3 linked regions of the Drosophila melanogaster genome follow. The protein of the gene in region 2 interacts with the protein of the main gene of each other region in a pairwise test. Each region holds a gene or a part of one and is shown on either strand. Other genes may lie near its edges. The genes, in order: Cda5, CG9624 and CG12896.

What was found.
Region 1: the proteins of CG9624 (region 2) and Cda5 interact in a two-hybrid assay, tested with the Drosophila melanogaster proteins (one large-scale study listed by BioGRID).
Region 3: the proteins of CG9624 (region 2) and CG12896 interact in a two-hybrid assay, tested with the Drosophila melanogaster proteins (one large-scale study listed by BioGRID).

The regions. Positions count from the first base shown.
Region 1 is NT_033779.5:56,248-61,186, forward strand, and holds the start of Cda5 (chitin deacetylase-like 5), read right to left. Parts: upstream 3,022-4,939; 5' UTR 2,943-3,021; exon of another isoform or gene 2,712-2,942; intron 2,485-2,711; exon of another isoform or gene 2,002-2,484; intron 1,947-2,001; exon of another isoform or gene 1,936-1,946; 5' UTR 1,904-1,935; coding exon 1,834-1,903; intron 1-1,833.
Region 2 is NT_033777.3:14,227,496-14,230,839, reverse strand, and holds CG9624 (uncharacterized protein), read left to right. Parts: upstream 1-1,694; 5' UTR 1,695-1,770; coding exon 1,771-2,640; 3' UTR 2,641-2,822; downstream 2,823-3,344.
Region 3 is NT_033778.4:10,426,317-10,429,746, forward strand, and holds CG12896 (uncharacterized protein), read right to left. Parts: upstream 1,600-3,430; 5' UTR 1,504-1,599; coding exon 1,421-1,503; intron 1,359-1,420; coding exon 984-1,358; intron 921-983; coding exon 845-920; intron 782-844; coding exon 653-781; 3' UTR 564-652; downstream 1-563.

The sequences.
Region 1 (4,939 bases), on a different chromosome or scaffold from region 2:
GCGCCATGCCAATGGTCGTACATGCTCGTATAAAGTGTTCAGGTTACAGTCAAAGACCTAGCGAAGTAATTTAATGACGATCTTCCGCGTGCGCCAAAACTTTCGCACGGTAAGCATTGACACTGCCTGCGGTAAAAAAGAGACGAAATGATTAGGTCGAGGCGTGACCACCATACTAATGGTTTAACTGGCATTGAAACTGAATTATGATTAAAACCCCTTTGTTATACTATTCATTAAACACGCGCTTAAACAAATGTTCTTGCAAATGTTCAACTTTCGCCATTGGCCTCGTCCGCCTCAAACCTTTTTCTTTCAGCCATCGACATTCGCATTAAACCAGTAGTACATCAAATGTTTTAACACAAATTTCCTAGCAATTACGCATGAAAATATTTCCATGGCGGCATATCTAAGGTTTTACCCAAATATATATTTCTGTGGCTTAAAAAAACACCACTCAAAACACTGAGAAAGTTCATCAAAATGGAAAGTGTTGCCACTATGCCTAAACCAAGTCATGCAAGTCTTCATACCCTTGCGGAGGGTACATTCACTTAAGTCAGAAATTTCAAAGCTGTGAAGGACACAATTGTGCCCATATATGGTATATATATTTCTTGCTAAGTATCAACGACCGAATCGGTATAGCAGATAGATTATAAATTGTTTAAAAGAGGACGATCGGACAGCCGGGCTTGGCTATTTCAAGTTCGCTGTTTTTACTAATATGTTATGAATAAGATACATATATGCACTTTATAAGGCCACAAAGGTAATACAAAAAATCTATCTCAAAACAATTTAGCCGTCTAATGCTGTTATTATAATTTTAATAGTGTTAATCCTTACCACGTTATCTAAGCAATTTTCGTAGTTCCCAATTTGTTTTCTCAAATTTTGCATATATATCATTCATAAAAAATGTCTGAACAATTAAGCAAACTGTTTTAAAAATTATCAACAGTTATTATAGCCACAATTTGCTCGGTTACACCGATACACTCACTCACTTAGTGAACCTATTCAATCGAGTCAGCGAGCTGTATGCAATTAATATCTGTGTCATAAGCTGCTTGGTTGGCTGCTGGCTGATAACTTACATAATTCCATTACCATTACCCAGCAGTATGGTGAGTAGACAGCCCAAGTGACCAATAGTTGGACACGGTAAGGCTTGTTATGGTCGAAATGCTTGATTATGTTATTGTTCGCTGGTAAATAGAGCAGTTGATCAGACCATGTATTTACCTCCATACATACCCTAATGTAAATACTCTTACTTTTTATATATCCTAACACATTTCGCAGTAAAATGTCTTAATATATATATATATATATATATATTAAAATAAATATACATTTTTGGACATATTAAGAAACTCGTTTAGCCGGAGCCGGAGTATCCACAATAGAGCTCAACACAAGTGGTTAACAGCTGGTGGTTTGACTTCTTCTACGGTGATTGAATTTGACATTAGACTATTGCGAGCTCGTACATGGCAGCCGGAACAGTGTTCAAAACAAGTTTGGCTTTATTTGCGGAACATAATATTTCTATCACGAAGTTTCGAATATGATTGAGGAAAAGAAGAATCCATAGTACTGTAAAAACAATTCACTTAAAAATAAAACTTTTTCGGATCTACGTTTAAAAAAAGATTTCAGTTCATACATGAACTGAATACTTATCCATGGTTGTCTTAAAATCTGGTTAAGTGCTAACTCTTCTAGGACTAGTGGGTAAAGTGTGTAAGCCCTTTGCTCTTTTAAGTTTTTGCCTCCATTTGTATTTCTAGCAGAGTGTTCTTCACTGAAGTGGGCATTACTCACCTGTTTTAAAAAGCAGTAGGCACAATCCCAGCAGGCACAGAATGTTTATTCGACTTGTTGAATACTTCATATTGCAGGTATGGCGTGTCGTCGTAACTGTAACTGTAAATTTTCTTGATGTGGTTGGTTCAGTTTCGTTTTGGGGTTAGTTCACAGAATTTAAAATACCATAGGCAAGCTCGGATAAAAATAGTGGTTGGAAGCGCGGGAAGTGGGGAGCAGCAGCAGCCACCGTACCGATGACGGAGGCAGTTACCGTTGAGAAAACCTCTGTTTTGTTGAAAACAATTGCTAAATAACTAAGAAGGCAGTGTCGCAATTTTTCAATTTAGATTTTTTGAGCCTTGTGTTACAGTTTTCTTAATGGTGTGTCTGGCTTATGCCGCGACTGCGGCTTTGTGGCTGTGCCTTCACTTGGTTAGGACATGTTTGTATTGTTGTAAGCAGATTTAGTTTCTGCCCCTATTATTCGAGCTTTCGTTTGGCTTTAACCAACGCGACGATGCATAGCTAACACACACGTTTACAGATTACAACACTTAGTTTTCCTCCATTGCTTTTGGCAAGCGATTTTTAGTTAGGTTTTTTAGTTTCTTTCACGTGAGACTGCAATGACCGCTGTTCGTTTTGTAGTTACCATGGAAAAGATTGCTAGACAAAAATGCAAAGAGATCAAATCGAAGATCGGTGTTTGATTTAGATTTCCCGTACGGTATCGCGGGCACCTCCATATTGGAAAACTCTGTATGAACTAGTCTGTAGCGCGTAGAGGAAAATGCGAAACAAAATAAAACAAAACCTGCACGTTTTTATTTTGTTTGTCGAAGCTTGTATATATATTTAGCGTAAACTTTCTTTTTAACGCAAAGTTAGCTTACCACCGACACACACGCTTGAGCTCTTCGACTAAACTGCAAAATGCAGTTAAAACTGCTTTCTACAAAATGTTAAATTTTTGGCTGGTTGCAATGTCCAGTCAGAGGTGGACTTTATTTCGACGCGTTTACGAAATAAATTAGCAATCGAAAGCCCAAAAATTGATTGTGGCTTATTGCAAACAGTTTAGACCGCCTGACAAGTTCGGGTGACCCTCGAGCGTCTCTGCTTACCGTGCGCTTAAGCGAACCACACGTCCTAATCGAAACAACTATACAGCGCGACTGTGCGGACGAGTGTCTTGAGACTCTGGGCAAGCGCAGCCAGCCAACCAAGTTTCGAAGTCTGGCTTTTGGGCCAAGCTTGGTCTGCGCCACGCTTGGCCCCGACTGTTACTTTACATTAACAGACTGTTCAAGTTGTTGCTGCACCCGCGCGGAGTCGTTTGTATCTCTTAAGCTTTTGAAAGTAAGAGTAAAGTTAACGCTTGCGCCATTGCAGCTTTGCTACGTTTTACAAGTTATACAAGTTATCAGAAAAATGTAGTCCAGACCCATATTCTTAGTGAATTTCAACATTTTACTGAGAATTTCATCCAAAGCTCCCCATCAGTTTCAAGCTATCTACAAGCGGGGAGCGGGCTTTGTTTATTGTTTTCTGAAACTACAACAATATCCACCCTCTAGCCAACGAAGGCTGGGAAACTATTTACCAAGGCGATTGTGAAATGTTGTTACCTTTTTCGTTACATTTTCGTTTAGCAGCAGGTTTCTGGATCGCTCGATAGTGGATTACGGTGCTTAAATTAAAGAATGCTTACTACTTCAACATGGGCTTGGACTTGAATCCATGTCAAGCATGGGATCGAAGGAAGACCACTCAATCACTTTTAGAATTAATACCACCCAGCTGAATTGCCCTTGATAAATTCGATTTATATGCCCAACATATAGCTTTACTCTAAAGTCTAAAGTAAAGTGGCCAATTTCGAACCATAGAATTGAAAGTAAAACCGAGTTGAAAACATGGCAACGACCAAGAACTAGGCCAAAGCAGCCAACCAAAGCCAAGCAAAAGCTGTAAAACAACAGCTGAAGTAAAGGGGTTCTGGTGAACGGCGATGGCTGATGGTTTGAGCAAGGCATGCGAATTAATCTAATTCTTTATTTATTAATTTATTTTTGCTGGATTGTGTTTCACACGATTTTTTCTGTGAATGGAGGGCGAGGTGTTTTGTTGCATTGAATATTTTTGACTTTGTTTAGGAAATTATTTAATTATTTCCGTTACTATATTAAAAAGTGTGTAACGAAGTGTATCTTGAACTAAACGTTTCGGACCATATAAAATATACAAATACTTTATCAAGACCATTGGCAGAGTCGATCAGGCTTGTCCGTCCGTATTAACGTCGAGTTCTCAGGAACTATTAAAGCTAGAAGGTTGAGATTCAGCATACATATTCTAGTGACATGGACGCAGCGCAAGTTTGTTGTCCCATGTTGCCACACCCACTGTAACGACCTCAAGCAACCCGAAACTGCTACGCCCACATTTTTGAAAAATTGTTGCATATTTTTTTGTATATTTTCATCAGTCTTGTAAATTTATATTCATTTGCCAAATCCATTTTTTCCACGCCCACTCTTACGCCCACAGACCGCCCATAGCTATCGTTATACTAAGAACACTTTGGCGGCGTTCCTTCTAATGCCCACAAACCCCCAAAAGCTGCCACGCGCACACTTTTAAAAAGTTTTTGAGATTTTTTTTTATTTTATTATAACCCTTGTAAATTTCTATCGGTATACCAAGAACACTTTGGCCACGTTTGGTAAAACAGGCGATTTGGCAAACTCATTAATGAACCGTAATAACTCCGTTTCCTGAAACAAATATTTCTTCTGTTATGTATATGAAACCTGTCAAAATATGGTCAATAGTTAGCACGCATTAAGATATCGCAAGTTGATTCAGACAGAAAAAGCTCAACGGAAAATGATTGTCAAATTGTTGGCCCTCAAAACTCGCCTATAATGTTTTCGATAAAGTGGTTACCCGACAAGTAAACCCGCACTTTGCTTACACATGCAATTCGAATCGGTCAGAGCCTTCAGTTTATGGTATACTTGAAATATTGGAGCATTGTGCTTAACTCTTGAATAATAAATGGAAGACAAAAATACAATAGTTCCGTTAATTGAAAAAGTCATTGCCGTTAAACACTTAA
Region 2 (3,344 bases):
TTTTGAGACGCTGAATTCCGCGTATCTATTTTTCTGGCAAAAAAATTCTGTAAGGCTTTTATTTATGTAGAGAACCTCAAACCGCAGAACGGGTTCAAAGTGCATCTACTGGAAGTTCCTGTGGCCTTTTCTCTGCGGTGTGCCAACTCAAATGCATAGCCAAAAAAAAAAAAATAATAAAAAAAATGACTCCAGTTTTACGCTCGAGTTTTGTGTATATTTTCCGTTTGATGTTGGGGCTGCTTTTCCATTTGTCGAATGCTTAAAGCCATTTGAAAATGATTGGCTTTTATGTCAATAAGCGTCTCAGTTGTCCTTACTTGTTTCAGTTTTTCTTTTGCATGGCTTTTTCCTTGACTTTTTTTAATACAGCTGACTTCGCTTTTTCTTTCGGTTTTTGCTCTCGCGGTTTTCTCTTACAGTCTGACGCTTAAGTGCCCCAATAAAACACAATAAATATACACATAAATTTTTATACACATCCCGCATATAGAGGACAACTTTTTTTTGTGGCCAGAGAGCTGGAAAAAGTCGTCGCGTTTTGATAGATGAAACGAAATAAAAAGTAAAACAAATACGGTGTTTTTAGCTCCCGGTCACTTATGGCTTTAAATTTTCCAGCGAAAGCAAAATTAAATTTTGAAAATTAGAAGGCAACTAAGGCTAACCGGATGCGATAAATCATCGTGGTAAAATTAAAATCGTGGGTTCGAATCAAAATTTCGCACTGGCGCTGAATATTAAAACAATAAGTGTTTGAACATCGAGGCGTAAAATAGGCATTCGTCACTCGGTTTTCGGTGCACCGACATAAATCTAAATTCAAACCTTTTGTGGATTGGATTTTTGCTAGGTGCCTTCGATTTGTAAGCCCACTGATTGTGTTCAACGTGGCACGAACAATTGATTTATGAAAATTTATTGCTCACATGCGGAGGACCAAAAACCAGGCGCCCGAGCGCCCTGCGATAGGCAACACTTTGTGTTTGAAATTAAAGCTGCCACGCCGCGAGCAATAAAAGCAAAGCCATAAAAGCTAATGAGCCCGAAAACTCGTCACCGTTGTCACAGCCATTTCCCCTTCGGATCTGCCACGCCCTCCTTAAACTAATATATATGTATGTATGTTCGAACTGGGGCATAATGAAAATCGCGGCCATCTTGTTGCGCCTGCATTCCGTCATAAAATCCTGTTTCACCTCACTGTTTCAGCTCATAAAATAATGGCGATCGTCGGCTACCGTGAATATACGGCATGGAATGTCGTAAAATTTACGCAAATTGTTGTTGCCGATTCCCGATGAGAATACTTACTTACCGTTATTGCCTGTGAGTGCGCATAAATTTGGCAACAAATGCAAACAAACAAGTTTAGCTATAGAAAAATGTGGGAGGGCTTTGTTATTAGGGGGCGTGCCAGTAGCTGATTTATTTCGCTGATAGGAAGGGATGTGCTTTCACTGCTGCGAATTTTTTGAAAAAAGATAATAAGCATATATACATTTTATAAATTTTAATTCTTATTTTAAGCTACGAAACTAAAGACTCTGTAAACATGTTAATATACGTAAAAATCTGTTGAAATAATGTATATTAAGTTTTGGGCTGAAATTAAGAAATCCAAATATTTCTAGGTGTATTTTAATGTAGATGCCAGCAGATTTGTGTCACCCTATTAAGCATTTGATAGCGAGGCAACGGAAATTCTGCCATAGACACACATTTGCTAGCCAGGCCAAATTACATGAATAGAAATTCCAAGTACCCAAAATGAATACCTCCGAAGTCAAACGAACGCTGGGTAGCCCCTTCTTCGACGTGCTATGGCCATTGATCCTGGACGAGAATGTCTGTCGCATCGAGACCAAGCCGGACGAATTCTTTGTGCCCCGGCAGCCCTTCAATCGACTGGATTGGCATATCTATCTGTCCCAGGTGGGCTTTCCTTTCTACATGCCGCCACATGAGCTGCGCTGCTGCAAAGGAGCCCAAAGGGAGGAGATCGAGAACGAGGATGCTGAGAATGCCTTAAACCAGGAGGTGGAGGAGCGAACGGCGTCGAATCAGGTGGACTTTCTGCGCCATGGATCCCGGGACATTAGACCCATAGATGAGGTGGTAAACAAACTGAGGATGGAGCAGGAGCGTCGCCAGAAGTTGGCGTACGACTTTGCCAATCGGCGCTATCCTTGGACCATGCAAACTCCCAGTCACGAACTGGGCTTCACCATCACTGAGGAGCTGCAGAAGTGCTTCAAGGGACCCATGGAGCTGGACATCTTGAGGGCCATTCATGATCACGACTGCAAGCTAATGATTATCGATCTGGGCACTGATGTGGACATTAAGGACTGCCAGCGCTGGATAAAGTTTCGTCCATATATTCAGTTACTGGCATTGCCTCGAACACCTCGCATGGAACGATCGCTTCAGGTGCTCAATGTCTTCCACACGTATTTGGTGGAAGAATCGGCTGATAACTCATGGCACGATGAGGTGCAATACTCCCTTCGCACAGCTTTTGTGCACGCACAGAAAAATCAGCTCCTTAAGTCCTGCGGAGAGCCATTTGTCTTCGTATTTAGTCGTTTTCGTGGCATCTGCACCTGCGATACCTATAAGATAATCCGACGGGCATAGAACAAATTCTTTCAATTAATTTCCATCAGCAGTTATTAGCAAATGCCAACTGAAGTTGCTATAGACAAGTAATTATTTATTGCTTTTAAAAAAATTTCAAAATGTAAAAAAAATCTCAAGTTTACACAAGATTATATATATTACATGCAATAAATCGAATTTAAACATCATAACATCTGTTTTAGCCCAGTTTAATACTTATTCACGTCGCCTAATTTGATACGACTTGATTTGCTCCGCCCGGCCGTTCAAGCCATCATGTTGAAGTGGCGCCCGAACAGGAACCGCTTCAATTAGGCCGCCCAATTGGAGCTGCCTTCAAGTGCAGTCAGACGCACGCTACCTGCCACTTGCCACCCGATTATTGACGCAGGCGGAAGCCTGCACCACCATTTTCCGATGTGTTGTCAAAGTGCCTCCGCTAAGTTGGCAGACTTGAGCCCACGGCACAATTCACAACAAGTTTGTTTGCGAAAAAGAAACGAAATCGAAAAATTTCGCACCAAATCTCAACAAATTATTACAAAGCTTAACAAACTTGAAACTGATTATAAAAGTTGCCGGCAGGCAGTTGGGGCAAATTGGGGGACCGGCGGCCACAATGCAGCAAAATTGAGTTGCGGGTATCGTGAAGTTAGGAGCACTTCCCCTCATTCTCTACGGGCTTCCTTTTTGTTTTGTTGGAAAAAGTTTTTTTTGGCCAA
Region 3 (3,430 bases), on a different chromosome or scaffold from region 2:
CGCCCACACTTATATACTTTTGAAAAATGTGTTGAAATTTAGTATATATTTATATTAGTCTTGTAAGTTTCTGTCGATTTGCAAAAAACTAATTGCCCAGCCCACTCTAACGCCCTAAAGCCACCAAACCGGTCACACCCACACTATTAAACAATTTTAAAATTTATTCTCATGTTATGCCCCAATATCGATATCTCAGAAAAATGATGAAATTTCGCGTTCGGTATCTGATAGTCGGGGTGTTCGACTATAGCATTATTTCAAGACTAAAAATGCATTGCATTATATTACCAGTAGAGCAATTTACATATGTAACAAGTAGAAAGAAGGAAGCGTTTTCTACCCTATATAGTATATATATTCTCGATCACGATTGCTAGACGAGTCGATTTGGCGGTTTATGTCTGTGCGAATGAACGCTGCTATGCGACTTTCTTTCGATATTGCGAGACAATTTTTTCATTTTATTATATTTTGTAAAAATATTCATTCGCAGTTTTGTAATATTTTGTGAAAGCGAAGCTGACAAAATAATTTTTATTAAAATAAGAAAGTTTTTAATTAATAGTTTCAGAATATAAAATTTTTATTTTGCAGTAATTAACTTTTTATGGCACAACAGGAAGAAAAATACATGCAGGTATGTAGGTCTTTAATAGTTCTCAGTGGTGCGAACGTAGTTTACTCCAGATGGCATGGATACTTTATCAAATCCCTTGGGGAAGAGTTTATGAGCCTCGTCATCGGTGACACTGGGCAGGATCATGACCTTAGTGCCAGGCTGTTTATGAAACAGAATTAATTAGTTCGGAACAGTTCGCATTAAGTGGGTAGAAAAACTTACGGTCCAGTTGGCGGGAGTGGCCACCACCTTGAGGCGATCAGTCAGCTGCAGGGAGTCAATGGTCCTCAGAATCTCGCTGTAAGATTACAGGATCGTCAGTTGAGATTAACAATAGTTGTAGCCAGAAAGAGGTACTTACTCAACGTTGCGACCAGTGGACATGGGGTAAAACATGGAGAGGCGCACCTTATGGTCCGGACTGATGATGAACAGGGCGCGGATGGTCTTACCCACCTCGGGATCCTTCTTCTGCTCCTCGTCGAGCATGCCCAGGGTGACGGCCAGGTCGCGAGTAGGGTCGGCGATGATCGGGTAGGGGAAGTCCCCGGGAATGTCCAGGCAATAGCTCTTGATGTCGTTCACCCAGTCCACGTGCGAGTTCAATGCGTCAACGGAATGCGCCAGGCACTTGGTGTTCCGCTTGGCAAACTCCGGCTGGTGCACCGCAATCCTGCCCAGCTCAGTGGTGCAGACGGGAGTGAAGTCGGCGGGGTGAGAGAAGAGCACCACCCAGCTGGCGATCCGAAGGAGAATTGGTAAGATTCGATCAGAGAAAAAGGGTTTGATGGCACTTACGAGTTGCCCTGCCACTCGTGGAATTTAATGGGCCCCTTGGTTGTGTCGGCCTCGAAGTTAGGTACGGTCTGTCCCAAACGCATCTTGCTGTTTGATTTTTAGTTTCACTTGGAAAAAAACTTGTTAGTTGCTCAGCTGGTAGCTGTTATTAGCTCGCACACTTGTTGCTTACTGAATACTGACTGGGAGAGCTCGCTGTCTTTTATACCCGACTGGATCAATTTGATGAAAGGGGACCGATAGAGACAGAGAACGGGAGCTGGCTTATCGTATCATATATGTACATATGTATGTTTGTATGTATAGTACGTGGTGCTGCGGGTAGACTAACAAACAACTCAGTGATAATTGGGGACATTGTGAGGGGAAAGATGAGGCCTCGTACGGGGTCTCCATATTTGTGTGAACCTCAAGAGGGGCCTTAAAAAAACCTGTTTGGGGCGTCACACAAAAATGGACTCTGTGACGAACACATTTTAGATGTAACGCAAAATGAAGTACAGTTTCGCATATTTCTTTTAATTTAAACTTGTTCGAATAAATCAATCAGTCCAGAACCAATTCCTTCAGGATCTAGTATCAAAACAGCTGATTTGATGCAGTTGACGGTTTTGCCGGCTCCAAACATAAACAGAGAGCGAGAGCGCATTTAAATGTTAAATGGTGTTGGTAAACAGAGGCGAAGCACCAACACCTGCAAACATACAGCCACGCCGATAGGCGGATATTGAGAGCGAGAGAGCGGCGAGCAACGTGATGGTATTTGTGAGTGCCTGCAAAAATCGCACACTTCCATAGATCGCACGGCTCTCCCGTTCACGTACAGAAAACGAGCCTCTAATTGAAAGTGAAGAGCGAGTGAAATCGTGAGACTGTGTGCGTGGGTCTATCGAAAATTAGCACACCAGCATAGGTTTTCTCTCAGTAAGTCACACATAAAGATGGAATGGATTTGGGAAGTCGGATGGGCAGATCGCTCATTCAGAAGGCAAAAGACAGTACGCATGAAAGCAGCCCAAATAGGAATCATATGGTTAAAATTCAATATCTAGTCATAATGGATACCAAAAATGCAACAATTGATAAGTTTAATTAGAAGAGTTCCCTCCCAGTAGCTCGATCGTGTTTCATAAGTTACAAGTACAGTTTTTGTGCTAGTGTATAAAGTCTAATCAAGAATCCAGCAACATTCGTCTCTACACCAGACGTGTGGTAATTTTCCACTGTTTATTATCAGTTACGTGATAGGATTTCTATTCGGAAAGGAAGTAACTAAAATACAGAGTGAAGGTTGAGGCGAAACGAACAAGAACGATTAGAAGAGTGAGATAGAAAGTGTCAAAGCATTTGAGAGAAGCCGTAGAGCGAACCGGTAAATTCTGCAGCATCGATAGTCTGTCAATCGAATCGAATCTTTTGAATTTATGGCGGTTTTTTTTACCAGTGCAGCGATCTCTTAATTACATTCTGGGCAGAGTACTAGAAATCACTAAAGTTTTTTGCGCTGATGCATTTTTAAATCTGGTTTCAATGTAAAACGCGTATGTTTGACATTCGTCATACTTTTATACCATAGGCAGAAGTTTCTAAGTAATAATTGCCCTTAATATTCTTATCGGTATGGCGTAAAGTATGCGCTAAAAATAGATAATATGATCTTTTTTTATAATTTAAACCAATATTTAAAAGATTAAATTAGCATTAAAAAACATAACGAATTACGTAAGGTTTAATTTTACCCAAAAAATAAGATTGCTAGCAATAGTGCAATAATACCCTCCAAAAGTATTGTCAAGGGTTTTACCTAAAAACATTTTAAGATTTTAATGGCACTTTGGGAAGTGTGTTACTGCTTATCAAATTTTGAATTTAGGCGCCTAAAGAGATTTATTCGATAAGAATAATCGATAGCTGCCGAGCGCACTCTGATGTTGTCAGGTGTCGGAATAGATATCGATATCATCGAATGAACATCGGCTTTTGTTCCAGCTCTATAGCATAAAGTCAAAA